Linked DNA regions of Mus musculus. The protein of the gene in region 4 purifies or fractionates together with the protein of the main gene of each other region. This does not show direct contact. Links are inferred from orthologs where the notes say so. Each region holds a gene or a part of one and is shown on either strand. Other genes may lie near its edges. The genes, in order: Tardbp, Ubap2l, Atxn2l, G3bp1, Stau1, Hdac6 and Trim21.

Region 1 (4,409 bases), on a different chromosome or scaffold from region 4:
CTACAAAGCAATCTACCGAGTTCTAACCTTCAGCCCCTGTTCATTCCAACACAGCACCTCACTTTACCACCACTACCAGTCTTTGAAGTATGTGCCAACACGCCTAACCAACACCAGTGTCCCCAACCCAGGGTCTCCCTTTGTTGTAGTCCTGGCTATCCCCAATCTCTGAGATCCACTTGCTTCTGCCCCCTTGAGTGCTGGAATCAAAGACGTGCACCACAGACCCAGCTTTCTCAAACTTTCAAGAACGTCCATAGTAAGAGAGGGAGAAAAATCTCAGGTAGCTCTGCCCTAACTCAAGACTTGGGCTAGCGCAGTTGGTATTTTTTGAGGAGGGAAAAAGAAGAGATGGAGTAAGAACACTGGCGTTAAAAGCATCTGTCGTGTTTTCGGTCTTCTGAGATCAGGGTTTGGGTGTCAGCACCCACGCAGCAGCTCACAACCATACAGTTTTAGTTTCAGAAGGTTGAATGCCCTTTTGCACCAGGTGCACACACAGTGTAGAGACACACATACAAAACATTAATAACACATAAGATATAAATCTTTAATAAAACACAAATCTTAAAAGGATGATACGCCAGGACGACACACAGAGAAACCCTGTCTCGAAAATCCAAAAAACGATGAGACAAAGATGATTTTTGAGGCTGCAAGGAAAAGCTGGGCAGTGGTGGTGCACACCTTCAAACCTAGCACTTGGGAGGCAGAGGCAGGTGGATTTCTGAGTTCGAGGCCAGCCTGATCTACAGGGTGAGTTCCAGGACAGTCAGGGCTATACAGAGAAACCCTGTCTCGGGAAGGGGAAGAGAGAAAAAACAAAACAAAACCAAAAACAAAACAACCCAAAAGACTGAAAAACCCCGTTTCAAAAAGCCAAATTCTTTTACAAAACAGATGCATCTTTAAGGCATTTAGGTTTCACCACCTAAAATTAGCAATGACCATGTTCTGCCAGCTTCACATTTAAATTCATGCTCCTCAAAAAAAGAATCCTGCTTTTCAATTTCCATTTACTTAAACTGCTGACCTGCCAGAGTAGTCTAAGTCTAAACAAAGTTTATGAAAAAGTTAGGGTCATAGGAAACATTCCTCCATAACGACCAAACCCTCAAGTTGGAGCTCAACAATAGACTATTCTCCCAGCACACATGAAGCCCTGGATATTATAGTCTCACTTAAATTAAGATGGCACGGAAGTCTAACCATGGCCAGCAATACAGCAAAACCAAAATGATTAACAAACCTTTGGGATAGTTGACAACATATACCAGATTGCCCCAGCCAGCATCTGGGGCATGCAGAATTCCTTCCACCAGTCGGACTCCTCTCATACACTGAGACACGGGATTCCGGTAGCGCAGGCCGCATGCCCCTGGAAACTGGGCTGTAACTGTGGACAGCAACACCGTCCCATCGTCTTCTGATGGTATTTCAATGGGTTCATCGTTCTCATCTTCTGTTACCCGAATATATTCAGACATCTTTGCTTAAATCTCTTAAAGGAAAAAGAAATGAGCAAGAAAATCAGAGGAGTTATCTTTTCATAATTGGCTATTATCACACCACTTTATTCCCACTTCCTGAAAAGATTCCTGCTACCTAAAATGTTTCTTTTGCCATCCCTGAAAAAAAAATAGAGAAAAGGTATTTTCTAAAATAAAAATGTGATTTTGGGGGCTGTTGAGATGGCTCAGTGGGTAAGAGCACCCGACTGCTCTTCAGAAGGTCCAGAGTTCAAATCCCAGCAACCACATGGTGGCTCACAACCATCCGCAACAAGATCTGACTCCCTCTTCTGGAGTGTCTGAAGACAGCTACAGTGTACTTACATATATTAATAAAATAAATCTTTAAAAAAAAATGTGATTTTTGTCGAGCACGATAACCCACGCCTTTAATCTCAGCACTCTTGAGGCAGGCAGATCTTTTTGAGTTCGAGGCTGGCCTAGTCTACTGAGTTCCGGGGCAGCCACAGGGAAAACCGGTGTTCATGTGGCGCTCTGCCCGCCAGTTCTATTTTCTCAGCGCACACTATAAGCTTCCGGTGCTAAAATGGCAACAGTGTTACCATGTGGCCCGTTGGCTACAAAGCCAGACAAAAACAAGGTGTTAAAGAACTAAGTATCTGCCCCGATTTTTTTTCTTGCACTCGTCATTTCTTACCTGGAGCGCACAGATTACAGGCTACCGTATTTCGTAACCATTCTGAATTAAGTTTCTTCTATAGCCTGGACCTGAATCGGGTTTAGCACGTGCTTTAACGTGGAAAAAACCAGCCAAGCATTGGGATCTGAGGAACCCTCCCTGTGCTGGTGGAGCACGAACACCGACATCAGAACAGTTATCTAGCAGTTCTGGTGCTCATCCTCGGAAAGGTCTGGCTAAAGTTAGGCGTCGAGGGAGCAACGACGGCTACTCCGGGAGGTAGGCCGCCGCTTCCCAGAAGGCCGTGCGCGACAGACAACGTTGATGATTTTCCCCCCCTTTCAACTGGGCCCAGGGTGGGGCCCGCGGAGGTCCAAGTCCCATGGTGACAACAGTTATTCTCAAAAGCGACAATCTACAGGGACTAGGACGCCTGGAAACCCGGGGCGGCCACACACTTCCGCCCGTGGCTTCACAGCCAAGCAGAGGCCCGGCGTCCCGCTCCGGCTACTGCCCGCGCTTAGGCCTTAACGACGCGGCTGCGCGAGGCCAACCAGGCCCCGCTCTACCGCTCCCTCCCCGCGGCGCAGGCCGCACCGGGCCTCTCCGAAGCAACACTCGAGGCACGCAGGCCGGCCTTGGCGACCAACCTACCCGCTAGGCCACTGCTAGGAAGCACAAGGAGGAAGCACAGACGGGAAGGAATCCGACAACAGCCGCGCTACCGCTCCGTGCCCACAAAATGGCGCTAGGGCCGCCTCCCGCCCTCGCCCGCCTTCGGCCTCTCCCACTGGCTTCCCTGCAGGAGGGGCGCTCTCCGAGGGAAGCCACAGGCGCTCTCTCCTCCCAGAGGCTCGGATGCTAGCAGGCTCTTCGGCGTATAGAAAAAAGTAAAGAAACGCAACAATGAAAACAGCTGGGTCTGAAAAACTGACAGATGAAGGACAGAACGGCCACTCGGCCTTCCGAGTCCCCCTACGTAACGCGGTAGATGGCTTCGCCTGACCAACGGCCGGCCCTAGTCGAGGAGCTCGCGCGCGCCGAGAATGCGCGAGACTAGCGCAGGCCGGGACTGGGGCGGCAGGGGCGGGGCTAGGAGGGAAAGGGGGCGGAGCCTGCGACTGAACGCGTAAGGGCTTGGGGGGGAATCCCTGGGAACCCTGGGTTCCTAGTCTAAAGGCGACTCTTAAATGTCTTCTGCCTTTGCTCGTTAATTTCCAACGTGGAAACATTAACTTTGATCTGCAAAATGGTCCCTGTTCTAAGTACTATTTTGTATCAAGTACCTTTTAGCACTCTCTGGCTCTAGGGGGAGAAAAACAAACCAGAATCTTGTGAATGGCAGGCAAGTGTCTTCCCATTGACCTTGGGCTTAGCCATCAGATACTGTTTTAGAGACAGGGATCTCAAAGTCACTGTGTAGCCCAGGCTGTCCTTTAACTCATCAAGGCTGCCAAGTGTGGATGCTGCCCTAGCAGTCTACACGATAGTCGTGATACTCTCTCCTCTTTCAATAAGTGAAGAAACTGAGGCACAGAGTTGAGTACCTTGCATGAAGTCACCATGAGAAAGAGGCCCCACTAGGGTCTGAATCCTACAGCAAAAAACTACTTGGATGTTTCAGTATTTCGGTTCCAGTTGACGAGTCCTAGTATAACTTTAAAAAGGCTGAAGGCTAGCTCTACCACCAAGCAGCAGATGTAGACTCTTTACTCAGGGTTGGAATTTCTTGGTGTATCAGATTCAAAGCTTAGGCACAAAGGTTTTACACAGTTGCTTTATTTACTGAAACTGGGTCTTGCTGTACAGAACAGGCTGGCCTTGAGCTTGCTGGGTTCCTCCTGCCTCTGCCTCCCTTCTGGGAGGAATGGGGTAGGATTGCAGATCACCATCAGGCCAAGCCTTCCCACTTTAAGTTTATAAATGAATTCATTTCCTCCTCACAGCTACCTTGTAAGAAGATGGCATTGGAAGAACAGATGTTAATGTCTAGCCCCTAACTTCCATTAGAGCCCAGGCTGGCCAGGAACTCCTGGCCTGTCCTCCTGCCTCAACCATCTGAGTGCTGGGATTATAGGCATGAGTCCTTCCACCCAGCATTATTTACTTTTTGGTTTTGAACTTAACAAACAAACAAACAAAACAGGATTTCTGCGTAGTCTTTGGCTGGCTTAGAACTTACTGTGTAGACCAGGCTGGCCTCAGATTTGCTATGCCTTTCCTGAATCTGCGCCTTCAGTGTTGGGATTACAGGTGTG
Region 2 (3,853 bases), on a different chromosome or scaffold from region 4:
TTCAGAGGAGCTATGGCTACAGCATGAACATGTGTTTCAAAAAACAAAATATGGCTGGAGAGATTGCTTAGCGCAATTAAGAGCAAAGGCTTTCTACCAGAGGATCTGGGTTTGATTCCCAGCACCTGCATGGGATGTGTGTATCTCCAGTTCCCAGAAGACCTGGCACGTTCATATAGATATAAATTCAGGAAAAACACCAACACACTTAAAAATATGTTTAAAAAAAAAAAAAAGATATGGGCCTAGACAGATGGCTCAGCAGTTAAGAGCACTCAATTCTTCCAGAGGACCCAGATTTCCAACAATCCACATGGTATCTGCAACCAGTTTCAGGGTATCTGACCCTGGGCACATACTTGGTACATAGACACTCACACAGGCCAATGCCCATACACATAAAACAAAGCAAAACAAAAAGACCTCAGAAGATAGAGAAGTTAAAAGCTGACTACTGTGTACACACACACACAGCTGAGCACAGTGGCACATGTCTTTAATTTCAACACTTGGGAGGCAGAAGTGGGCAAATCTCTTGTGAATTTGAGGCCAGCTTGGTCTACACAACAGGGTCCTTCCTACCTTCCAAAAAAACGAACAACTCTACATCAATGTTGAGGAAAGCCACTAAAACCAAGAAGAAAAAGCCTGGAAAATGCTTACCTTCAACAGATTGCGTGGTCTGTAACTGCGTGGCCTGCACAGAGCTAAAACCATTCTGGAGAGGAGAAAAAAAAAAAAGCAAGAACAGACAAGCTTGTAAGAGAGATGTTATCAGTCACTTAATTTAATTTTGGTCAAATATATTTTAGGGAACCTGGAAAGATGGCTCAACAGTTAAAAGCATGGATTACACACAAAGAGCACCTGAGTTCAATTCCTATCGCATATATTAGACAGCTCACAACCACCTGTAACTCCACTCCAGGGATTCTGATGTCTCTGGCTTCTTAGGGTACCAGCACTCATATGCACACAGCCACTACCCCCACCAAATAGTTTAAAATAAAACAATTCTTAGGACCCATCCTGCTAGACAGGTACTTCAGACCATCTTAGGTATATGTTATCCCTTTTACCAGAGTAACGTAGATTTACTAATATATATGCACCCCGAAGGTTAGCAATCTGATCTTCTATGAGGAAAGGACAGGTATTTGAGACAGTTTTTGCCATAACCAACAAATCTTTATTGCAAAGAGAAATGTTCTGAATCTTGAGGGTCCTCCACATTTGCTGAAAATAATGTTTAGTTTACCAATCACAGAAATGTGCTTTTGTCAGCATCTCAGTTGGCACCTCCAAGACTGTAGCACCATTTCCAGAAAAGTGAAACTATATTAGAGGGACTTTTACCCACTACTTTGCTAACCAAGGCCCAGGGAATCATTAAACTACTACCTTAGCCTGAGTCAGGTCCTTTTGGGGTGATGAAGAGATGGAGCTGGGATACCGCCGCGTCTGTGTGGATCTCTGTTCATATAGAGGGCCCTGAGCATTATTTTGGGAGGTATAAGTTGTCGACTGAATCGGGCCACTCTGATAACCAGACTCCTGACTCTGATTAGATGAAACTGTAGATGAAGACTCACTGTGGAAAAGAAAAATGTCTTAGGAAATGATGATCGTCTATTGGAATAAAATACTGTCAATTAATTAACAAGGAGAAATGTTTAAAAATCAGGCACTTGGGAGAGTAAAGAACTCAATGCACCCCTCCACATCACACCATGAAACCCTGGCACAAGAAAAATCATCTATTGATCAGTTTCATCACTGGTAGAATTTCCCAGAGTGGGGAAAACATTTTTTGAATTATGCTTCAAAGAAACTCTTGGCAGTGGTGGTGCACACCTTTCATTCCAGCACTTGGGAGGCAGGCAGATGCCTGAATGGAGGCCTACAGAATGAGGTTTAGGACAGTCAGGGCTACACAGTGAAAGTCTGTCTTGAAAAATCAAAAAACAAAACAAAAAATTTAAGATTTAATGTATACCAGTGTTTTGTTCACATGTATGCCTATGTATCATGTGGATTCTGAAAATCAAGTTGTGTACATGGTCAACAAGGAACTTAACCACCAGGTCATTTCTCCAGCATTTCCCTTTGGGGGAGGTTGTCACTAGCCCTGGCTGGCTTTGAACCTCCTGAGTGCTAGGACTGGGGTACCAGCACGCCCAGCCTGTCTTTCTGAAGTTTCTTACCCGAAATGGTTTTATTTCAATAGCAGATTATCACTAGTTTCTGTAACACAGCATTTGCTCTCATCTCACACATTTCCCCTACTCCCATGAGCCACAACAGTCCAGAAAAAAATTTTTTTTATATAAAATCTTTTTAGGCATCAGTGGCAATTATGACTCAACTAATCTGATCTAGACTAAAGCCAGATACCTCATTAAGGAAAAATTGATTATCTATGCATAAGATGGCTTTCCTTGGTAACTACCAGAAGACAGAAAAGGTTCATTTATTTTTATGGCTTTTTTTTTTTTTAATTTTAATGTTTTTACTGAGTTCCTATTTTTACTTTTCACAAACATAGTCCCACAACAAATAAAGCACTTTTCACTGCAGGAGATGTCAAGGTACCGTCAGAATCAAACAAACCTTGAGAAGCTAGGGAGATGGCTCAGTTAGTACAGCATTAGCCATGTAACAATGAAGGCATGAACTGATACTGAACACCTACATAAAATCTGGGAAGAAGACATTTATGATCTTAGTACACTGGGGAAATGGAGACAATAAGTTTCGTGGAGCTTATTGGCTATCCAAATTGGTCTAGTGAGCTCCAGGTTCAGTGAGAGATGCTGATTCAGAAAATGAAGTAGAGAGTGATTTTTGAGAAAGACACCTGATATTGACCCCGGGCCTCCAGATGCACGTGTATGTCTGCACATACAAACAAAACAAAACAAACAAACAAACTGAGCTTAAGACATTCTAGAAGTATCTAAATGGCATTTATCTAAATGTTTTAAATCATAGATAATCCTAGTAACAACGTATTTCTTTAAAAGCACACAACAAAATGCTATGATTGACTACTTTTATCCAGTCAGAAATATGGCCTCTCCAGAGGAGAAGAAGTAAGCACAAAACTAAGCTACCAAAAGAGGTCTTCTGGGTGATGATTCCTCTACCTGGCCGTGCTGGTATACAGGCTACTAGGAGCCTGGCTTGAGGAGGCGCTCGTGGTGGGGGTGGACTCATAATCAGAAAGGACAGGCTCTGACCCAAACTGCAATGCCCCAAACTGTAGATTTAGCCCTGAGATATCTGCTGAGCCAGGCATCTCCACAGCCAGAGCAGGAATCTATGAAAAAGGTAGGAAAAAAATATGTAAACGTTTAATACAATCTTTTTGTAGAAATAAAATTATTCCTTTCAAGTTTAAATTTCCAAATAAACCCTTAGACTATCTCATCCTGAAATACCATAACCTCCCTGCCTTAAAACAGCATCTCCCTAAGAAGCTCAAGTACCTTAGACGTCAAGGAGGTTTTCTTCTTTTGCTGTTTCAGTTTCTGCTGAGCCGGCTGAGGGCTGGAGGACTGGTTGTCTGAAGACCCCGGAGACATCTGTGGAGCCGAGGTGGATTTGCTTGGCAGAGGAGAAGACGGGGGAGGTGGTGCAGCTGTCGAGGTAGCCACTGCAGGTGGCTTCTCCTGAAGGAATACCTCCATCATGGTTGAAGATGGGGTGAATGCCTGGCGCTTTGTAAAAGGACTGTGCACTGTTGAATCATTTGCACTCTTCAGATCTGCAAGAAGAAACACAAGTTATGAGCCAGTGACATTGATACATTCCAAGGAAATGTCCTATACTAATACTAGTAATAAGACCTTCA
Region 3 (3,853 bases), on a different chromosome or scaffold from region 4:
GTGCTGCCAGAGTAGAAGTGAGGTATGAGTGCCACCCATTCTGCTATGCAGACAAAGCACAAGCTCGCTCATGCCACTTCTCTACTGGAGAATGACCCAGCTCTTTTCAAGCCCTCTTCCAGCCACCCATTCCTGGGTCAACCACTCAGACCTCCCAACCAAACCCCACATTCAGGCACCTGAACGGGACTGGGGGCCGCATGCTGGGATTGTGGCTGGCTCCCAGTAGGTGTGGTGGCCGGCTGCGGCTGGTGGCCATGGAGCTGCGTGGCATGGTGTGGATAGGATTGGTGAACAGTGGCTGCAGCAGGAAAGAAGGGAGACCGAGTGCTGAGCACACCAAATGGATACATATATCCTGGTGACAAAGTGGGCACCACAACTCACCATAGAGGGCTTGGGGGGTAGGCTGCTCTGCAGCAGGGTACTGAGGAGTGGAGGACGACACGATGGCCTGGGGATGGCTTCCCGATGTCAACATTCGTGGATTACTTTGAAGCATAGGGGCGAACACCGGCTAAAGAAACAAAACAAAATGCTAAGCAGACCTGCTTGGAACGTCCTGTCAGCTTCCATGTGCATAGGAGCATGAGCCTCAGTAGTGGTTTTAAAGACAGTAACCACCTTAATTCAGAGGGAAAACCCGAGAGCAAAGGTTCAATGTCCTGTTACAGGAATTCAAGTGGACACTGCCAACCCCACAGCCACCACTACTCAAAATAACCCTGCTTCCCCCCATCAGGTTGGATTTCAGGTGTTCGTTACCTGTGAAGGGTAGTGTGCCATGGGCTGCATCATGGCAGGCTGGCCTGGGAACTGCTGTGGGTTGTAGGGGATGTAGGAGGAATAGGGTGTGGCAGCCACCAGGGGTGGGCCAGCAGCAGCAGCAGCAGCCTGCATCATTGGAGGGGCTGAGGCTGGTTGGTGTTGGTCAGAGCGCTGAGGAGGAAGTGAGCCTGTGGGTGGAGAGTAAACAGTACAAAGCTCAAGCAGCGTTAGCCAAAAGGTACTAGGCAGTCCCAGCTCTTCTTCCCAACCCTGCTCACCTTTTGCACCCCGGTACTTGCCCTGCTGCCCAGGCACGGAATTGGATACAGGATATGGATACATCTGAGGCGCCTGAGAAAGATCTGGGGCTCAGCAGGTGCTCAGAACAGCCTGAGCTGGACAATCAGCACTTTTCTTGGGCTCACTCTCTCCTACCTGTACAGCTGGTCCCATGTGGATCTGAGGTATATATGAGATGTACTGGGGACTGTAGAGCCCACTCTGGCCTGCTGTCAGCACCGGTATAGAAGGTGTTGAATGAGTACGGGGCCCTGGTGAAGTTGGAGTACTGGTAGATTTGTTCTGTAAGAGACAAGAGGAGATATTTCTGTAATCCCACTTCAGCCTTTTTAAATCCACCTGTGTCAAATATATCCTACACTTTCCCTAAGCGCTTCATAGCAAATCACAAGATGGACATTCACAAACTAAGAGAGCTCTAAGTGGTTGTGTGAAATCTCGAAGCCCCATGAGTACATCAGTTAAAGCCACGTCAGCTGATTCCTTGGAGCTCATAATCCTAACCCTCACACACCCAACACACCAAATAGTAAGACCTAAAGTAACTTGTCAGAATCAATAAGCAGCCTTCATCACTCAGCCCTGGAGATGTCACTGTTTTTCCCAAAGCAGTCCAACTAACTGCTCCTGCCCAGACTGACAGTGCCATCTCACACTATGGGACAGCACGCTATCCTGACAGTCAAGTCCTCTCCTGGAGTACTGCTCTACTGTCCCCTCAAGGAGACCCAAGTCTACAAGAAATAGTCCCAGCTTACCACAGACAGCAGAGGTTTTGTTGGATTGAACTCCTTGGCGTTGGGGTTCAAAGTAGACTTCTTCACTTGTCTGTAGAGAATGTAAACCAACTGAGTCGTGCCCTTCCCCAGCGGGTAAGCACCAAAGATCTTCACACCACCCACCACTAGCACTACTTACTCAGTAACAGGGCCCTCCTCTTTCTCATCCCCCTTGATGAGGCCCACTGGAGGACTGCCGGTTTGGCTGGGACAAGGTGCTGGGAGCTGCTCTGGCCCCTCAGTCCCTCCTACTCCTGCCATGGGCACTTTGTCTTCCTTATCCAATATGGATTCTGTCTTAGAGGAGACTGGGGATCCCATAGGATCTGAAGTCAATAGACCATCCACCTCTTTCTCCTTTCCTTTGGCCTCTTCTTTCAAGATCCGGGAAGGAAATGGATCCAGGCCCGTCTCAGGGGAGCTACTAGGTTGAAGCTGAGAAGAAATAATTCACATATTACAGTGTGCACTCCAGACCCGGGCTTTTACCTCCTCCATTCACTCTTGCTGAACTCATCGCTCCCATTCACTTTGCCTGTGCCTTACACATCCCACAGCTCCCACAGCTTAAATCCCAGCTCCTTCCCATGCTTCACTCACCTTAAACTGGGCCCCAAATTTTCTCAGTTCTTCCAACTGAAATCGTTTTTGTTCATTCTGAAGGCCAGGGACTGAGAAAAAAACAGAGAAATGAGAAAATACGTTTTTTTCCCCCTCTGAGGAGTCACACAGGGCTAGTTAGTAATCCAGAAATAAGAAACCAAAGAATGAGCTGTTAAGAATCTTAAAAGATAAACGAGGGCTGGAGAGATGGCTCAGCAGTTAAGAGCACTGACTGCTCTTCCAGAGGTCCGGAGTTCAAATCCCAGCAACCACATGGTGGCTCACAACCATCTGTAATGGGATCCAATGCCCTCTTCAGGTGTGTCTGTATTCATATACATAAAATAAATCTTAAACAAACAAACAAACAGATAAATGAAATCGAAGGGCAAATGGACACTACACTGCTTCCAAAGGGAAACGCTCCCTCGAGTAAATGGGACTACAGAGTAAAGTTGCCCTCACCTTTCCCAGCTATGCGGGCCAGTTCTTGGGCTTCCAAATTCCTACTGGGCTCCTTGGTTGGGAGTTCTTTTACTGAAGAAAAAGAGGCAATTAGATCCTGCTCTCAAGTCATACCCACAGTTCTCCAGCATTTACAACCGGTTCTCACCATCTGTAGGGGTCAGGGAGAGTTTTGGAGATGCCGGGGAAATAGAGCCTGCACCAGGATCCACAACTGATGATGTCACAGGGATGGAGGCAGAGGACGCCACTGCCGAACCAATGGGAGGCTCAGGACAGGAAGCTGAGACTGGGGCAGGGGCAGCAGACTTGGGAGACCGTGGAGGGTACATCCGGCCCACTGGAAGAAAAGGGAGAGCTACACGATAGTTATTGCTGGCCAGGAAGTAGTGCATATAGGGGGAAAACCCATAGAAAATTTACAAGCTTTTTTTCACCTAGAGGCACAATTTCCTGTGTTAAGCCCAGGGCAGGTAAGTAACACAAAGGCAATGGTTTCTCTGGGTAGTTCAAAAAGACTGGAAGTGGTATAACTTCTCCTGTTCTAAAATGCTGGTTAAAAAAAAAAGTCTCAACAAAACACCTGATAACCAGCTACAACCCATAAACTGACATGTTAGAACCAAAGAAAACTAGAGTTCTTTCTCAAAAAGATTACATTAAATCCAGCTGAATGTCTTTAACCCCAGCACTTGGGAGGCAGAGGTAGCTGTACCTCTTAAGTTCAAGGCCAGTCAGCCTGGCCTACAGAGTTCCAGGACAGCCAGGGCTACACAGAGAAACTCTGACTTGAAAAAGACAAAAACAAAACAACAAAAAAAAACTGGAATGATAAAATCCAAGACCCTGCCCGACACCAAGCATCTACAAACTACCGCCCAGCATTTCAACAACTTGACTCAGTTACTACTGCCTACCTCCACAAACTACCCAAGCCT
Region 4 (3,853 bases):
CAGTCCTCAGCTCTGGAGGAAAAAAAAGACAAAATACTATCCTAAATAAAATTTTTCAGATGAAGCCCGTATGAGCTGATTCCGTATCTATGCAGCTTTCTTGCCCTTCTCTCTGGAGAAGGCACAGCAGATGCCATCCCTCATCATCCACCTGTGGTACCTTCAGAAACCCAACTACAGACAAGCATCATGAATGGAACCATCAGCTAGTGGGGCTTGATCAGGGCCAGGGTCAACACAAGGACATAAACCATGCATGCCATGCCCACACCAAAACAGGCCAGCATGAAGGGTTCCCACTAACAAGACCCAGGACATGAGGATATGTTAAACAATTATTAATGAATCATAACTCAGTAAATATACTAGAAATGAATGGTAGGGTAAGGGGATCCTTATAAGATAATGCCAATAAATGAACACAAGAGTGGTGGATAGTATCAGACATTCCCATCTGTCACCATTCAGCCAAGAACCTCAAATGAAAAAGAATTATGGTATGCAAAACTGATAAAGAGCAGCACGTTTATACAGGATCCCAAGATTAGTCACAATTTATAAACCAGATACAACAACTATGTGACTTTACAATGGCAAGACCTGAACATATCACCTAGGGGAACCAGAGACACTTCTAGTACCATGGTCACTAAGGATGAGTGAGGAAGGTATATGATGCGTGGACAATGACACAGGACTGCTCTTCAGAACTGTCGATGCCAAGCAAACCAGAGGAGGGAGGGACTACAATGACAGGGAACAAGACACACGGCCAGACAAACACAACAGAGAACTACATACAGAATCCCAGATCAAGAAAAACAAACTATGCAAGACAAGGCCAGCTACTTTCTGAAACTCAGGCATGGTTACCGCATGAGCTATATATATACCGAGCACTGTTCTCTAAATGTGGTGACAACAGGGTGATTAGGAAACAGATCCCTTGTCCTTAGGTGATGCCAGCCGAAGGGACACGAAGTCTCCTGCATTTCAACAGTTTAGGGGAGGCTCCTCCCAACAGTCATCTTCCTGAAGATTACAGTGAGGGCACCACAGCTTTAGGACAAGAGGACAGAGCAGCTCTACCCTGCAGCCATACCTATAACCCTGAGCTGCCAGGAATCTGGACTCCACACAGCTTTTAGTCTTTAAGTACTCCATCACTACAGAGCAACATACCTCAGGAGCAAGGACAAAGGTCTGCATGAACCTCCGCAGAGCCTGGTTGTTGTTGGACAGTAGCCCCATCACTTGGACCACCACCCCGTCATTCAGAGTTGCGTGAGCATCCACGTGGCGGATCTTGGTGTGGCAGTTGGTGAAGTTTTGTGACATCACTTTCCTGTGGATTTCCTGAGGAATGGAGGCAAGAGTCAATCCCCCAGGAACTCACCAGTTCAGAAACTAAAACAGCAGTTGCCAGCACCAAGAACAGACTGGCAGATCCTCCAAGCTCCGCCCTGTTTTCTCACAGATGTGTACTTGACACTCAGCCCTGCTTCCTCCTGCTCCTTCGCACAGTGGTTGAGCAGTCTCCAAGCAATCTGAAGAGCTATACAACAAGTACACTGAAGGGCAGAGACCTGCTACGCTCACACCAGCTCATCTCCACTCAGCGTGACAAGACCTAGAATCACCTAGGAAACACTCTGCTGGGACAGCAGCATTGCACAGGCGAGACCTTTGTGCTGTACAAAAGGGGACCTGAGCACCAGCATTCACCTTGTGTCCCTACTACCTCGCCTTTCTCACGTGGACTGTGAGCCTGAATGCCCTGCATCCTGCCTAAGTTGCTTCTGTCAGGTATTTGTCTCAACAATGAGACAATAAAGTAACACAAAAATCTAGTTAAAAAAATAAATCCCAGGTGGCTTAGCAGGTAAGGGCACCTGCTATAGGGCCTGATAATCCAGAATGTTATCTTTGGGGCCTATACGGTGGAAGCAAAGAACTCCTGACAAGGTATCCTCTGACCTCCACAAGCATACCACTCAGTCACACTCACCCACAAACCAATATATGTGAACACTTCAGAGCTGGAGAGGACCTAAGCTCAGTTCCCAGCATCCAGCTCCTAAGGATCCAAAGCTCTCTTCCGGCCTCCTCAGGGACTCAGCACACACATGGTGCAGACATGGATGCTAGCAAAACACTCACACACATAAATACATCTGTAAACAAATTTTAAAAAATAAAAATGTCCAACACAGCATATAGAGAATACATGTATTACTGTTATAATATAGTCCAGCTGTCAGTGGGTGTGTGCTGTAGTTCCAGTGATCACAGCTTAGCGCCTTAAAAACAACTGTCCTGCCACTTTTATATGTAATCTAAGCACTTGAGAAACTGAGTCAGGGGAATATCCAGACATACATAGCAAGTTCCAGAATAGCAAAAAACTTGAATCATGTCTCAAAAAATAAAATAATTAGCCGGGCACACGCCTTTAATCCCAGCACTCGGGAGGCAGAGGCAGGCTGATTTCTGAGTTTGAGGCCAGCCTGGTCTACAAAGTGAGTTCCAGGACAGCCAGAGCTATACAGAGAAACCCTGTCTCGAAAAACCAATAAAATAAAATAAAATAAAATAAAATAAAATAATCAAATAAGTGCCTTGAATACACACCTTTTAAGTTTAAACATGGCACTCTTCTGCTGAAGCCAGCAATCTAACACAGAATCAAAGTAACCTGACAACACACAGAGTGTTCAGCAAACCAAAGAATTAAACAGAAACCCACCCCTAGGTACCAGCTTCCCAGTAGGCAGGGAGCTGCCTTCTTTGCTGCTACTGGTCCACAGCACCCACCTTCTGCCCGTAGACTGCATCTGCTGGCTTCCCGTTGGAATCCAAGCCCCCGTGGGCATAGGAAGAGTTCTTTCCATAAAATCTGTACAAGAGAAGGCAATTTACTTCTCATCTTCAAGGACCCGGAGTGCAGGTACTTAGTGTTCAGGCTTGGTACCTATCCGCCTCACTGGCAGACTCACAGCGGGGACTGTTTATGTTTGTGCACGACAAGTCCATTGCACACGCCCGAGTGGGGACAGTCTCAGTCAATGAGGCATGAGGCATGTGTGTGGTTTTCAAGTCCCGACTTCCAAGTTTCAGGGTAGGTAGGATGATCATGTTGGGAAGGGCCTTGGAGTTTGTCAGCAAAGTCAGGCACTTAAAATCAAAGTCAAGTTCCTGTTTCCACTGAGGACAGACAGCTGCCCTGTCACGGACCTGAAGAGTCGGTGCCTTCCCACCTGAGAAGGCAGTGGGACAGTTGTCCTGTGCACAGGTGGTATAAATATTTATCCCTTTAGCCCTCTCTCATCTATGCACTCAATCACCATTTTCATTAAAAGAACATCAGAGAGATGTTCTTTAACAGCAAAATGCCAACCAAAGACCACTGAAGACATCTAAGGACAACTCCATAAACCCTTAAGAGAGCCCATGCTAGCGCTGTGGATCTGTATCCTGCTTCCATCTACCTTACCAAAGCACACTAACTTGCTACTTTTCTTTTTTTTCAAGACAGGTTTTCTGTGTAGCCCTGGTTGTCCTGGAACTCATTCTGTAGACCAGGCTGGCCTGGAACTCACAGAGATCCACCTACTTCTGGCTCCTGAGTGCAGGAATTAAAGGTGTGCACCAGTGCACACAGCACCTTATAATTTTCAAGCTATTAAAGGAACTCACTTCAGCAGCTTCTACTCTCTCCTCCAGGACCCTCTACAACTGCACCCTTGATGGACATGGAAATGGCAGAAGTCTTAGGCTATAACCGCATCAGTGAGACAGGCCTGTGTGCAGGGCCTTCCAGCTCCAGTTTAGACTTATGCTGATGCAGAGCCTG
Region 5 (3,853 bases), on a different chromosome or scaffold from region 4:
CAGGCAGGCTCCAGAATAAACATCTGTTTACTCTAGCTCCATAAGCAATTCTTTCTCCCCGTCCTCAACAACAGTTTGCTTCCTTCCCAGCCTGAGCTCCCTTACCCACTGGCTTCCCCAGCATCATGCAGCCAGGCTTAGATGCTTCCTTACCCCTCAACAGCAGAGCTCTGGCCTTCTCTTCTTCATGTGCTTGCCGCCCTGCCCAAGCTGGACCCAAGGGACAGTGCTACCTCAGCCTCCTAAACAGCCACCTCTCCCTGTCCCTTATGGCTGCATGGCTGCTTTCCTTGGCTAGTTCTTAAAGCTAATCTTCCCTCCAAGTGCCTTAGAAAGCTGAAGACCTACAAAGTTTGGTTTGAAATTTGACTGTCTATGAGGGAGCCATGCCAGCTGGTGCCATCCATAGGCTGCATCCACCCTGGAGATAAGTCTCTCACTGGCATGAAGCTGGTCAAGCAACTACCAACAGTCATCCTAGGAATTACTTACTCAGGCTGGAGAGATGGCTCAGTGATTAAGAGCACTGACTGCTCTTCCAGAGGTCCTGAGTTCAAATCCCAGCAACCACATGGTGGCTCACAGCCATCTGTAATGGGATCTGACGCCCTCTTCTGGTGTGTCTGAAGACAGCTACAGTGTACTTACTTATAATAATAAATCAATCTTTGGGCCAGAGTGAGCAGAAGTCCTAAAATTCAATTCCCAACAACCACATGAAGGCTCACAACCATCTGTACAGCTTCAGTGTACTCATATGCATAAAATAAATAAATAAATTTTTTTTTTAAAAATTACTTACTCTCCAGGCACAGGAAAACAAAAAAAAAAAAACAAACAAACACAAAAAAACCTGTAAGATTCCTTTTCTACCCTGTAGTTTTAAATCACAACCCATGGCTAATAATATTAGCATTAACCTTTAGCAGTAGCTAAAACAAACAAAAAGTTCCAAATTCTTCAACACCTTCTTTTCCACACTGTGAGTGCCCTAGAAGCCACTGGATAATGCTTGTACTAGAGTTGAGAGTTCATCTAATGTGGTCTTTAATAAAAGAACACACAAAGGTGAGTCTCCTTATCTCCTTCCTTTAGCTCTGGGACTGCCTAACCTAGAAACCATGACAGAAGCCAGGCTGTGGGTTCAGAGAATTGGCTTTAATAACTGGCTTCCTTTTCCTGTCTATAAGGATTCTCATTCTTGAGATGCAGTCACCAAACTGTGAGGAGGTACCAACAGCCCCTGTAAGAGGGACACTACCCAGAAACTACGGTGCCCTGTCAGGAGGAGCCATTTTTCTACTAAGTCCTCCCAAGCTGGTGACGTCCTGGTGAGCTTCCTCTGCCAGCAAGCCGCCACATCTAGCCCTGCTCAAGCTGCAGATCTTTGAGTAAAATACATGCACCATGTTCTAGGATAACGTGCTAACAAAAGACTAAAAGCATTTCTACAGAAAATGGTGGTGGGCTGAAGGTCACAAATACTCTTAATTTAGCACCACAAATCATGGCTTCTAGCTGGGCGTGGTGGCTCACAGGTTTGATTTCAGCACTCAAGAGGCAAAGGCAGGCAGAGCTCTGTGAGTTCAAGGCCAGTTTGGTTTACATTGTGAGTTTAGGCCAGCCAGAGCTACACAGGAAAAACAAAAAACAAAAAGAACACCAATCAGCAGCTCCAAGAGCATAGGTGTCAGCACTGAGAATCCGACACTCACAACTCAAGAGCCCCGGCCTTCCCACACCCACCATGTGCTCTACACTCCATTGCCAGGGGAAAAGGAAAGGCCATTTGCTTTCCTGCTGAGACATTTAGGGGACACTTTCCCAGTGACAGAATCTGGATTAATTACCCAGTAGTACAGACAGCAGCAGCACCTTGGAAGTCAGTGAGGTGTCTCAAGCTCGCGTCCACCTTACCTCCAACCTTTCTGGCAGGGGTTCACTCTGCAGAGTCCTCAGCGCACGGGCAGGGGCATCGTGTTTCACGGGTGGTCTCATCTTTCCTTTCCCATTAAACTGCTGTCCGCCCACGGAGAGCTCAACTTGGTAGAGTAAAGGTGGGACTGGAAATGGGTAAAAGTATCTACAAACACAAGGGTAGGGTCTCAGTCTCCATCTCCTAAGTCAGCCATACTTTCTTCAGCAAACCCCACTCTTTGTGTACTCTGGCCTTGTCACCGTGCTCATAGCTAGAAAGACCTCCTGGTCAGCTCTACAAAAGCTGCCCTAAAACTCATATGATCTACAGCTGCCACACTGTGACTAAGCAGAGCGCTAGAGTCACACTTACTCTAGTAGCTGACACATGCTATGTACGCATCTGATGCTCCACAATAGGCCATACTGACAGTGCCTGAATGAACGCAGGTGCTGGCCGAGACAAACTTAGCTTGCTTTCCTTTCTCAAGCCTTCAGTGTGCACTTGCACATCTCTCAAAGAGTCTGGGAATTTTAAGGGTGACGTCTTTTGGAAATGACCCTCATTTTGGAAATCTCAGCAGCACCAAGTCCAAAAGAGTCTGGTTCCTTCTACTTCAAAACCTGTATTTTTGAGGTTTTGCCCTCCTGCACCTCATCAGAGGATGGGTGGAAAATGAAACAGCTGCCTCCATCACTGATCTGTTCACTAATGTCTCACTCCTGAAGCAAAGGTTTGAACATACAACAAGAGTTTATGTAGCCCAGGCTGGCCTGGCTTCTACTTAGCAGATACTCTTTCTGCTTCCACCTCTGGAACTCTAGGGTTATAGGCCATCTGCAGCCACTTTAGGCTCTGACCCTTCTGAGCACTATTACTTAGTCTCAGCGTTGCACAAAGCACAATGTCAGAGAAGACTTTCAGGAGCATGTGCTGAGGAAACAACGTAGCCAGACCATGGGTGTGAATGCAGCTGCTCCTGAGCAACCTGCTTGGGCCCTCTGCAAAGGCAGTAGGCTTCAACAGTCCCAGCACAGTACCAAAGGCACACCTTAAGTCCAGAGGTGAACCTGAGGCAGACCAAATCATTCACAATTCATAGAGACTACTTTAGGGAAAAACCCAACTAATTCCACCCCAAGCACATACCTGGGGGGATAGGCACCTCCACGCATGCCATAGCTGTAGGTGGACTGCATCCGAGAGTGAGGGTCCACGGGCTTATACATTGGTTTTCTTTCCAGTTTCACACACAGTGCATTGAGCTCAATGGTAGAAGCTATACTTTCTGCAACACAAAATCATACAAAGGATGGTTCAGGCCCTGGACACTGATGCTAACAGCCAAGCACTCTACCCCTGGACATCCATCAGGAAATCCAAGAATCCACACAGTGTACAGAATCACGGGAAAAACCTGGGTAAGTTGAGGGAAGTGGATGTCTAGAGGAGGCAAATGAGGACCAGAAAACATCCAGATATCTCCAACCTAACATTACAGTGGGGCTGAACCATGGTCACAGATGACAGGAAACCCAGTTTCATTTTCATATACATCAACAGGGAACTTTAACCTCAGAATTGATGACTTGAGAAAATACAGACTAAGACTGGAGATAGGGCTCAGCAGTAAGAGCACTTGCTGTCTAATCATAAAGACTAGAATTCAGATCCCTACATTGACACAGCAAGGTCCCACACATGTCTGCTACCCCGGCTCTAACAGGACTGCTGTCTTCCAACCTAGCTGAGAAAACATGAGCCCACATTTTAGGAAGAGGTCCTACCTCTAAGGAATAGGTGGAAAATTTCATGAGAAATCCCAGTGCTGTCTTCTGAACTCTATACACAGCACACACATCTGCACACATGTGTATACACACTCACAGAAATACACACACTACTCATCTTCTAATTTGCTCTCTTAGGTCATCT
Region 6 (3,853 bases), on a different chromosome or scaffold from region 4:
TGGGATCCAGATTCAGGAAATAAGGTGATCTGAGTACCCCCTTTTCAGTTGAGACCCAGGAGGAAGATGAAGTGGAAGAAGCCGTGCTAGAAGAGGAGGAGGAGGAAGGTGGCTGGGAGGCCACTGCACTGCCCATGGATACATGGCCACTGCTCCAGAACCGCACTGGGCTGGTCTATGATGAGAAGATGATGAGTCACTGCAACCTCTGGGACAAGTGTGTGCTCAGAGGGCTGGGGTGGGTGGTGTTTGGGTCACTCTCCTCAGTCACTAAACCCTTGGCTCTGCTTCTCCACACTGTTAGTCATCACCCTGAGACACCTCAGCGCATCTTACGCATCATGTGTCACCTGGAGGAGGTGGGCCTTGCGGCTCGCTGTCTCATCCTACCTGCTCGGCCTGCCCTGGACTCTGAGCTCCTTACCTGCCACAGGTCAGACCCCGTGCTGGGGGGAGGCCGGCTGTAGGATTCTAGGGATGTTCCAGGAGTAGGGCCTAGGGCTCTCCAAGATGGGTGGAGCCACCTAGACAGGTTCAAGTTCTTATGTGAGGACAAGCTGGCGACTCTTGTTCCTCTGCATCACCAGTGCTGAGTACGTGGAGCATCTCCGCACCACAGAAAAGATGAAAACCCGGGATCTGCACCGTGAAGGTGCCAACTTTGACTCCATCTACATCTGCCCCAGCACCTTTGCCTGCGCAAAGCTTGCCACAGGCGCTGCCTGCCGCCTGGTGGAAGCTGTGCTCTCGGGAGAGGTGCGTCTTCTCTGTGTGCTAGTGAAGTTTAGCTGAAGAAATGAGGTCCTGGGAACATAGAGAGGGACTACCTGCTCCCACTCAGGAGGCCAGAGGCAATAGGAGAGTCTGCTGGGAGGGGAACCACGGAGTGGATGGCCGAGTGGATGGCGGACAGGAGAAAGGGAAGCCTGGGAAAGATGAAAAGAGAGTGAGGGCCAGAGGCAGTCTCGCTGCTCCTCCCTACAGGTTCTAAATGGCATTGCAGTAGTGCGCCCTCCAGGACACCACGCGGAGCCAAATGCTGCCTGTGGTTTCTGCTTTTTCAACTCAGTAGCTGTAGCTGCTCGCCATGCCCAGATCATTGCTGGACGTGCCCTGCGGTAAGGCCTGCCCCCCCAGAGACCCCCAAAACCCGATCTTTGCAGGGATCTGGCTACTCTTTCCATTCAGTCTTACTTGGCAGACCCATGGTCACCCCTGGGAGCTTACACAGAAACAAGCAAAGGTCCACTGGGCAGCACTTGACTACAAAAGCCCCAGGACGGGTGTGTTAAGTGCCATGGCATCTAGATGCTTAATAAACTAGGATCCAGGGTATCACACCAGCATTCCTGAACAGGTTATCCCAACAGAACCCATGCCTGGGCTCCTAGCATTAGAAGAGTCCCTAGCCTTAATTACTTGTTCAGGTCCATAGTTCAGGAAGCCAAGGTTGGACCTTCATTCTTAGAATAATAGCAGTGCTTTCTCATTAACTCCATGGTCCTGTTGCCCAGCAACAAGTGCTTCCAAAGACCCTAGAAATCTAGCAGTGGCCCACTCCTAGGCCTTACTGTCCCAAGGTGCTAAAAAGGGCTATCTCCCTCCCCAGGATCCTAATCGTGGATTGGGATGTTCATCATGGTAATGGAACTCAGCACATATTTGAGGATGACCCTAGGTGAGTGATGGGACTGTGGGTAAGAGTATGGTGTGAGAGGATGCTGAAGCATCCTGCAGGGATGTTCATAGCCTCTAACCTGCTGTGGCCCCTTTCTCATCCCACCCTCTCCCTGGCAGTGTATTATACGTGTCCCTGCACCGGTATGACCGTGGCACTTTCTTCCCCATGGGGGATGAGGGTGCCAGTAGCCAAGTAGGCCGAGATGCAGGTATAGGCTTCACTGTCAATGTGCCCTGGAATGGGCCCCGCATGGGTGATGCTGATTACCTGGCTGCATGGCATCGTCTGGTACTTCCCATCGCCTATGAGGTAAGGCTCAGGTTATTATATAACATTGCTGTATCTGGCAGCACACATCTGCCTCCTTGACGTGTGTTTTGACTACCAGGTGACTAATCCTATGATGGCTATTGGGACAGGGTGGTGGGGATGGCCTTATGTATCTGTCTGCCTATGCATATATGGGTGCCTGTGAGTGGCCTATCTCTGTGACATTTTACACGTAAACAACTGTCTTGGCTCTGTGTATATATGCATGTGTGTGCCTTCTGATTCTGTCTGCTCTTCTGAGTGCATGGCTGTAAGGGTATCCCTAAGAGATACTGTTGTGGAATTGTGTAGAATAGAAGCATAAGATTAAATACATTATGGATATGTCTATGTAATGTTATATAGTGGCTGTCATCTCCTTTCTGTGTGTGATAAGTGTGATAGTGTATGTCATTAAATGCTGCTGTCTTGTGATAGCCTAAGAAAGACTCTGAATATGGAAGGCCGTAGTGACATTGTCACCCACACCCGTCTAACTGGGTCCACGTGTCTATATATGAATCTCGCTGGCTGCTTTGACTCAGGGGTGACCTAGCTGTGTGTGAGCTAAGGACAGGGCCAATGGCGTGTGTGTGTGTGTGTGTGTGTGTGTGTGTGTGTGTGTGTGTGTGTGATAATGCACTGAGGACACAACTCTGCAAGCCTGAACATCGGGCTCTGCTTTTACATCTGCATGCATGTGACTATGCACAGGCGACAGAGGCTACCCTTTATGTGTATGTGTAACTGCATGCAAGCGATAGCCTGCTGTGGGCATTGTAACTGTGCATCTTTGTGACTGTGCAGGGGTGGCTGTGTATTATCGTCCCATGAGAAACCCAAGCGTAAGTGGTGGGATTTGCAGCCCTATCAATATGAACCTGTCTGGTTGGGAGTGGAAGTGTATGACACTTTTATTTGTCTATAGTCTGTGTATAAAAGCCTGTATCATGTGAATGTGGGTCCCGTATTTGACCCTTGTATGTGAGAGAGAGGTTATGTCTCTGTTTCTCTTGTCACTATCTCCTGCCTTCCAAGTCTCCATGTTCTTTCTGTGAGCCATATCTATGTCATAACTCTATATCTTGCCTTCTGTCAACTTAGAGTATCTCCCAAGAGATTTTTGCCCATATATGTGTGTGTGTGTGTGTGTGTGTGTGTGTGTGTGTGTGTGTGTACCACATGTCTGCTTCATGACTGTGGAAGCCAGAAAAGGGAATCTGATCCCCTGGGACTGGAGTGAGACAGTTGTGAGCTGCCATATAGGTGCTAGGAATTGAACCCTAGTCCTGTTTCCACAGCCAGCGCTCTTAACAGCTGAGCCATCTCTCCAGCCTCTCTCCCAGTGTCTTGAGTTTCTGGCGGGTATACTCTTGTCTCTTTCCAGGCCTGCCATGTCTTGTTTCTCCTTGTGTCCCTGTCTTCCACTCCTGCTTTTCAGATGTCAGGTTTCTCTCCCTCCCTCCCTCCCTCCCTCCCTCCCTCCCTCCCTCCCTCCCTCCCTCCCTCCCTCCCTCTCTCTCTCTCTCTCTCTCTCTCTCTCTCTCTCTCTCTCTCTTTGGTTTTTCGAGACAGGGTTTCTCTTTATAGCCCTATAGCCCTAGCTGTCCTGGAACTCACTGTAGATGTTGGGTCTCACATCATCTGGGTTTTGACTTGAATTCGGATGCCTTCGTTTGCCCTTGCTCCTCCCATCACTTATTGCCTCCTCAAGCCTCAGGGCATCTTCTCTTCTCTCCTTACTGCAGTTTAACCCAGAACTGGTGCTGATCTCAGCTGGCTTTGATGCTGCACAAGGGGATCCGCTGGGGGGCTGCCAAGTAACACCGGAGGGTTATGCCCACCTCACCCACCTACTGATGG
Region 7 (4,380 bases), on a different chromosome or scaffold from region 4:
ATTTCCTAAGCTTGGGTGGTGTCTGTCCCCTAGACCCCCCCCCCCCCCACCTACGCATGCTTCCGGCACCAGATATTTTCTCAACCTTTCTTCCAAAAGCTACTAACGCCCATGTGAGTTCCTCTGTCTTACTATCTCAGCAAGTTGTAGAGCATAAGACCTGTTCCCATACCCATTGATACCCTGGGTGGAAAGCAGTGGTCCCAGGAAAACAGTCTTTGCCATCTTGGGAGGGTCAAGTTTTTGCTACTCATTTGGGGTCTGTGATTGGCTGTGAGCCTCTCATTCCTACCCAGTTTCAGATGCATTTCATTTTCTACCAGCAAATTCTCACTGTGACAGGCTTTAGGTCCCTAGCAGGCTTTGGACTAATAACTTGCTCACCATCAAGCAGCCACCAGGTCAGGTGGACTTCCTATCACAGACCCAAGAAACTAATGTTGACTATGCTGTTCCCTGAGACAGGGTCAGAAGGAATGACGAAACCTTAAACTTTCTCCAGAAATTCTTGATATTTGTGCCAGATTGGGGAAAATCCCATCTGATTTTAAGCTTCCTTCTTTCCTCTTCCCTCCCTCCCTTCTGCCTCCCTTCATCCCTGACTCTCTTCTATCCCTCCCTCCTTCCTTTCCTTCTCTCTTTCCTTCTCCTCTCTTCCTTCCTTTCTTTCAATTCCTCTCTATCTGGAGTCACAGTGTGTGGATGGGTCTTGGAGAGTGACCTATATAATAACTCTACCGCCCCTTGGATAGGCACAGTCATGGTTAAGGCTTGCTTGAGGTCAAGACCTGGGACACAGCCCAGCCTACAGCTCTTGCCTTCCAGTCTGTTCTTTGCATCGTGAGATCCATTTCCATCTTCTCGGCCAACTCTTTCCCCTTTCTCAGTTTTTCTAAAGCCACGTGGATCTTCTCCTGTAGAAAAAGATGGCAGGTTAGTCCCCAGGTTGGAGGAGGCAGATGGAAAGACTATGGAAGAAATCTAGTATGTCTTAACAAAAACAGAGTTACACCAATGGGTAACGGGATCTGGGCCACTGCATTTCTAATGTACCCGGGAGCCACGAGGAAGCACGATGCATGACTCCTTTCCCATGGCTTTGCCTCTGCTGCTGAGAAATAAAGTTGTATTCCATACACAAGCTCCTCTCAATGAAGGGAGAAATTATCCCTTCATCCCCCAACTTCTCAGCCACCATTCTGGGGGACAAAGTGGCTATGTTCTTTAGTCTGTGCTAAGGCCTTACCTGGTATACCTTAGCAGCCTCTTCAATAGGGACCCTGGTGTGGTCCCGGTGTTTCCCAGACTGGGCACACACCCAGCAAAGGGCCTGCCCATCTTCCTCACAGAATAGGTGAAGCTTCTCTCCATGCTTCATGCAGTGCGTTTCCTGGGTACTCTTCTTGGTATTCTGGGCTATCTGTTTAAGGTTTTCCACCATGTTGGCTATATGTCTATTGGGCCTGAGGTTTCGGAGCAGAAACTGTTGCCGGCACTCGGGACATGAACTGCCCCCATTCTTCCCAACTTCAAAAATGCATTCCTTGCAAAAGCAATGGCCACATTCGATACTCATAGGCTCCACCATGGGATCCAGGCAGATAGAACAGGTGACCTCCTCCCACATCTTTTCCAGAGACATTTTTGAGGTTGTAGAGGGTGATATCTGCCGTGGAATCTTGAGAGATGCAGAGGGGCGAAGAGATAAAAATGAGAGTTTGTAGGACAAAAGCAAAAGCAAGGCAAACCCCAAACTCCCCCAAATAATGCCAAGGTGGACAAGCGATGACACAGGAGGGAAAGGCAGAAGGCAAAAGCACCAACCTGAATGACAGGAGCCTCTCCTCCGGCCTCACCCACTGAGCAAGCCAGGCAGAAGGGGAAACCGAGTTTCTAGAAGAGACAGAGAAAACTGGTGGGGGTAACGCTGCTAACAGCTCCACCGTCACCACACCCATCCCTGCTTAACCCTCACTGTCTAGGCGTCTCCCATTTCCTTTCTGTCATCTTATGCCTCTACTGCCCAGAGACGTCAGTCATGGCAGTAACGACCATTTACCATATCACCACAGACCCTCCATATTCCAACCAGAGTTAGCTCATACTAGTCTTCATTAATCTTGGCAGAAACCACAGGGGTCAGGCATTAGGAGTCAAGGTTTATGCAGCTATACATCATAGTAGACATTTTGTCAAATATGACAGGCTGCACATATGGTGGTTGTGCAATAGGCAACACAATGCAGCCTAGGTGTGTCATTAGCGACCCCACTCAGGTTCATGTAAGATGTCATTCATTATCCGGAGTACATTGTCTAAGAGTATATGGCCCAGTTATAAGAGTTGCATGTGTGTATATGCATGTTTTTATATATGTATGTACACATATATTGATGTTTTTATATGCAAACTATACTTGTGCACAAATGCATCAATGTAGGCGTGCCCATATGTTCCCCTCTATAAATGTCTATGTACATAACATGCAGGTGTGCTCACCGGTGAACATTTTTGGGGAGCACTCCCTGGGCTCTTCTCTAAGCTGCTCCAAACCTAGTCTCAACTTCCTTTAGGGTGTGGAGTATCTTAAATCCACAGAAATTTCTACATGGATAGCACTCTCCTCAAGCAGGGATCTTCAAGGGGTAAGGGTTTCCCTGAGCTCCCCTCTGGCCTAGGTCACCACCCTGCTTCTCCTGCCCTTGCTAGGACTGTCGTCTCAGCTAGTCCAGGGCACTAGGAAAGTCACTTTCAGAGCCCAGCTTCCACAGGCCAGCATGGGCAGCTCTGCAGGGCTAGGACAAGACAACTCTGATGAAAAGAAGCAGCAGGTGGGTTCGCAAATTCCCGAGTGTGGGGTGCTGATGGGAAGAGGCTCCTTGAATCTGGTGTGGGGATAAAGAGCCCACCTAGGCCGGCCAGGGGTCCCAGTCTCACTCACCTAACCAGGGTCCTCAGCTTTAGTTATGTGCTCCCAGCTTCGCTTTTGCAAGCCTGCAGTCCAAATTTCACTTTCAGTTTCCTCTCAGAGGCAGGTCTAGCAGGAAGAGGGAGGAGCAAGGGGAGGAGTGAGGAGTTGAGTGGCAAGAGGAGGTTAGAGGCAGAGAAGGCGGAGGCTGGGCGGAGACTGGGCAGAGACAGGGCAGAGAGTGGGAGGAGAGAGGTCAGAGGTGCAAGAAACTGACTCCTGGCCACAGGCAGGGAAAAAACTCAGTACCTGTCCTCCTGGGTCTCTCTAAGGCCCCCTTGTCCCCTTTAACAGAATGTAATCTACAGGATATCGATCTTTGACACTGGTCTTTTCTTCTTACCTGGGAGCTTCTGAGAGAAGAGGTCTGAATGGGAGAGGGAGGAGTCACCATCTGTTTCCTACAGGGATGGATAGCTTCCCCCAAGACTGATCCCGCCACCGTCACTGTTTTTTATTAGTATATATTAATTGTACAGAGTACTTGAAGTATACCCATTTCCCACCACTCTGTTGTGTGATTTTGCTCTTTTCAAATAGTTTGGGGCTAGAAATTTATTCTTTATGATGTCAAGGTATGTGTTGTACCAGTGAAGGGAGTTAAGACTTATGGACAATTGATATTGTATTATAACTTGCGCTAAAAACAGCAGTGGAATTTTCCTCGCTATTTATTATATTTAGGAAACAAAACCATTCTGTGATTTGAAATTTCTAGTCCTGTTTAAGAGATCTCTCTTAGTGAAAGGCCGCCAGGCAACATCTACTGTCTAGATTGTGCTGTTGTACTGGGGCTTGGTTCCTGGAGCACAACAGTCCTAGAAAGCAGAATGAAAAAGAGTCAAGCATCCGAAAGGACGAAGACATCTATAAACATCAGAAAACGACTCTGCTTCTACCACGGAAGGTCTGCTGCTATTTCCTGCAGGCAAAGAACTTGGGTCCCAAAATAAGGCAGAGGGTAGAGTCAATGTCTATTTTGCTATTCACCACCAGAGGATGCTCTGTTTCAGTTTACACACTGGATAGAGAGATTAATGCACACCCTAGGGGTGTGCTGATATATACTCTATAATGTGCACACAGGACTACTAACATATTGTACTCAGAGCTGCCTCAGCTCCCACCTTGGTAATTGTTTGAAGACCCCACCTACTGAAGACCCAAACTCCCTTCACTCACAGATAGTACTTTGATATTTCAAACTTCCCTCTCCCTGACAAAATGACCCAAGTCTTTATTTGGGAAGAATTAATGCTATTGATATTATTGTCTAGCACATTATTAGTGTGTTGGTGAAGTGAGATGTTTATACTTTGGGTTTTAATCATATTCTCTACTAACTTGAGTGTGTATTGGCAACCCAAGTTGTCCCTGGTGATATGCAAGTACATTTTGTCCAGGACAGGAAA

Evidence for each region.
Region 1: the proteins of G3bp1 (region 4) and Tardbp purify together in Homo sapiens (affinity purification with mass spectrometry; 3 studies listed by BioGRID, with this or other methods). This does not show direct contact. The link is inferred for Mus musculus from reciprocal best matches to the Homo sapiens genes G3BP1 and TARDBP.
Region 2: the proteins of G3bp1 (region 4) and Ubap2l purify together in Homo sapiens (affinity purification with western blotting; 6 studies listed by BioGRID and IntAct, with this or other methods). This does not show direct contact. The link is inferred for Mus musculus from reciprocal best matches to the Homo sapiens genes G3BP1 and UBAP2L.
Region 3: the proteins of G3bp1 (region 4) and Atxn2l purify together in Homo sapiens (affinity purification with mass spectrometry; 4 studies listed by BioGRID and IntAct, with this or other methods). This does not show direct contact. The link is inferred for Mus musculus from reciprocal best matches to the Homo sapiens genes G3BP1 and ATXN2L.
Region 5: the proteins of G3bp1 (region 4) and Stau1 purify together in Homo sapiens (affinity purification with mass spectrometry; 3 studies listed by BioGRID and IntAct, with this or other methods). This does not show direct contact. The link is inferred for Mus musculus from reciprocal best matches to the Homo sapiens genes G3BP1 and STAU1.
Region 6: the proteins of G3bp1 (region 4) and Hdac6 purify together in Homo sapiens (affinity purification with western blotting; 4 studies listed by BioGRID, with this or other methods). This does not show direct contact. The link is inferred for Mus musculus from reciprocal best matches to the Homo sapiens genes G3BP1 and HDAC6.
Region 7: the proteins of G3bp1 (region 4) and Trim21 purify together in Homo sapiens (affinity purification with mass spectrometry; 3 studies listed by BioGRID, with this or other methods). This does not show direct contact. The link is inferred for Mus musculus from reciprocal best matches to the Homo sapiens genes G3BP1 and TRIM21.

Annotation. Positions count from the first base shown.
Region 1 is NC_000070.6:148,623,876-148,628,284, forward strand, and holds the start of Tardbp (TAR DNA-binding protein 43), read right to left. Parts: upstream 3,122-4,409; 5' UTR 2,806-3,121; intron 1,502-2,805; 5' UTR 1,488-1,501; coding exon 1,250-1,487; intron 1-1,249. UniProt on the Homo sapiens protein: RNA-binding protein that is involved in various steps of RNA biogenesis and processing.
Region 2 is NC_000069.6:90,017,751-90,021,603, forward strand, and holds part of Ubap2l (ubiquitin-associated protein 2-like), read right to left. Parts: intron 3,767-3,853; coding exon 3,489-3,766; intron 3,320-3,488; coding exon 3,147-3,319; intron 1,592-3,146; coding exon 1,402-1,591; intron 719-1,401; coding exon 664-718; intron 1-663. UniProt on the Homo sapiens protein: Recruits the ubiquitination machinery to RNA polymerase II for polyubiquitination, removal and degradation, when the transcription-coupled nucleotide excision repair (TC-NER) machinery fails to resolve DNA damage.
Region 3 is NC_000073.6:126,493,374-126,497,226, forward strand, and holds part of Atxn2l (ataxin-2-like protein), read right to left. Parts: exon of another isoform or gene 3,833-3,853; intron 3,274-3,832; coding exon of another isoform or gene 3,256-3,273; coding exon 3,064-3,255; intron 2,988-3,063; coding exon 2,916-2,987; intron 2,519-2,915; coding exon 2,448-2,518; intron 2,283-2,447; coding exon 1,987-2,282; intron 1,897-1,986; coding exon 1,827-1,896; intron 1,351-1,826; coding exon 1,204-1,350; intron 1,120-1,203; coding exon 1,047-1,119; intron 957-1,046; coding exon 766-956; intron 518-765; coding exon 388-517; intron 302-387; coding exon 180-301; intron 4-179; coding exon 1-3. UniProt on the Homo sapiens protein: Involved in the regulation of stress granule and P-body formation.
Region 4 is NC_000077.6:55,486,522-55,490,374, reverse strand, and holds part of G3bp1 (ras GTPase-activating protein-binding protein 1), read right to left. Parts: intron 3,258-3,853; exon of another isoform or gene 2,897-3,257; coding exon 2,815-2,896; intron 1,357-2,814; coding exon 1,183-1,356; intron 1-1,182. UniProt on the Homo sapiens protein: Protein involved in various processes, such as stress granule formation and innate immunity. Plays an essential role in stress granule formation.
Region 5 is NC_000068.7:166,961,512-166,965,364, forward strand, and holds part of Stau1 (double-stranded RNA-binding protein Staufen homolog 1), read right to left. Parts: intron 3,207-3,853; 5' UTR 3,148-3,206; coding exon 3,068-3,147; intron 2,084-3,067; coding exon 1,918-2,083; intron 1-1,917. UniProt on the Homo sapiens protein: Binds double-stranded RNA (regardless of the sequence) and tubulin.
Region 6 is NC_000086.7:7,934,207-7,938,059, reverse strand, and holds part of Hdac6 (histone deacetylase 6), read left to right. Parts: intron 1-48; coding exon 49-217; intron 218-304; coding exon 305-433; intron 434-587; coding exon 588-756; intron 757-984; coding exon 985-1,118; intron 1,119-1,609; coding exon 1,610-1,678; intron 1,679-1,797; coding exon 1,798-1,990; intron 1,991-3,738; coding exon 3,739-3,853.
Region 7 is NC_000073.6:102,562,448-102,566,827, forward strand, and holds the start of Trim21 (E3 ubiquitin-protein ligase TRIM21), read right to left. Parts: upstream 3,036-4,380; 5' UTR 2,942-3,035; intron 1,894-2,941; 5' UTR 1,825-1,893; intron 1,679-1,824; 5' UTR 1,643-1,678; coding exon 1,247-1,642; intron 915-1,246; coding exon 819-914; intron 1-818. UniProt on the Homo sapiens protein: E3 ubiquitin-protein ligase whose activity is dependent on E2 enzymes, UBE2D1, UBE2D2, UBE2E1 and UBE2E2.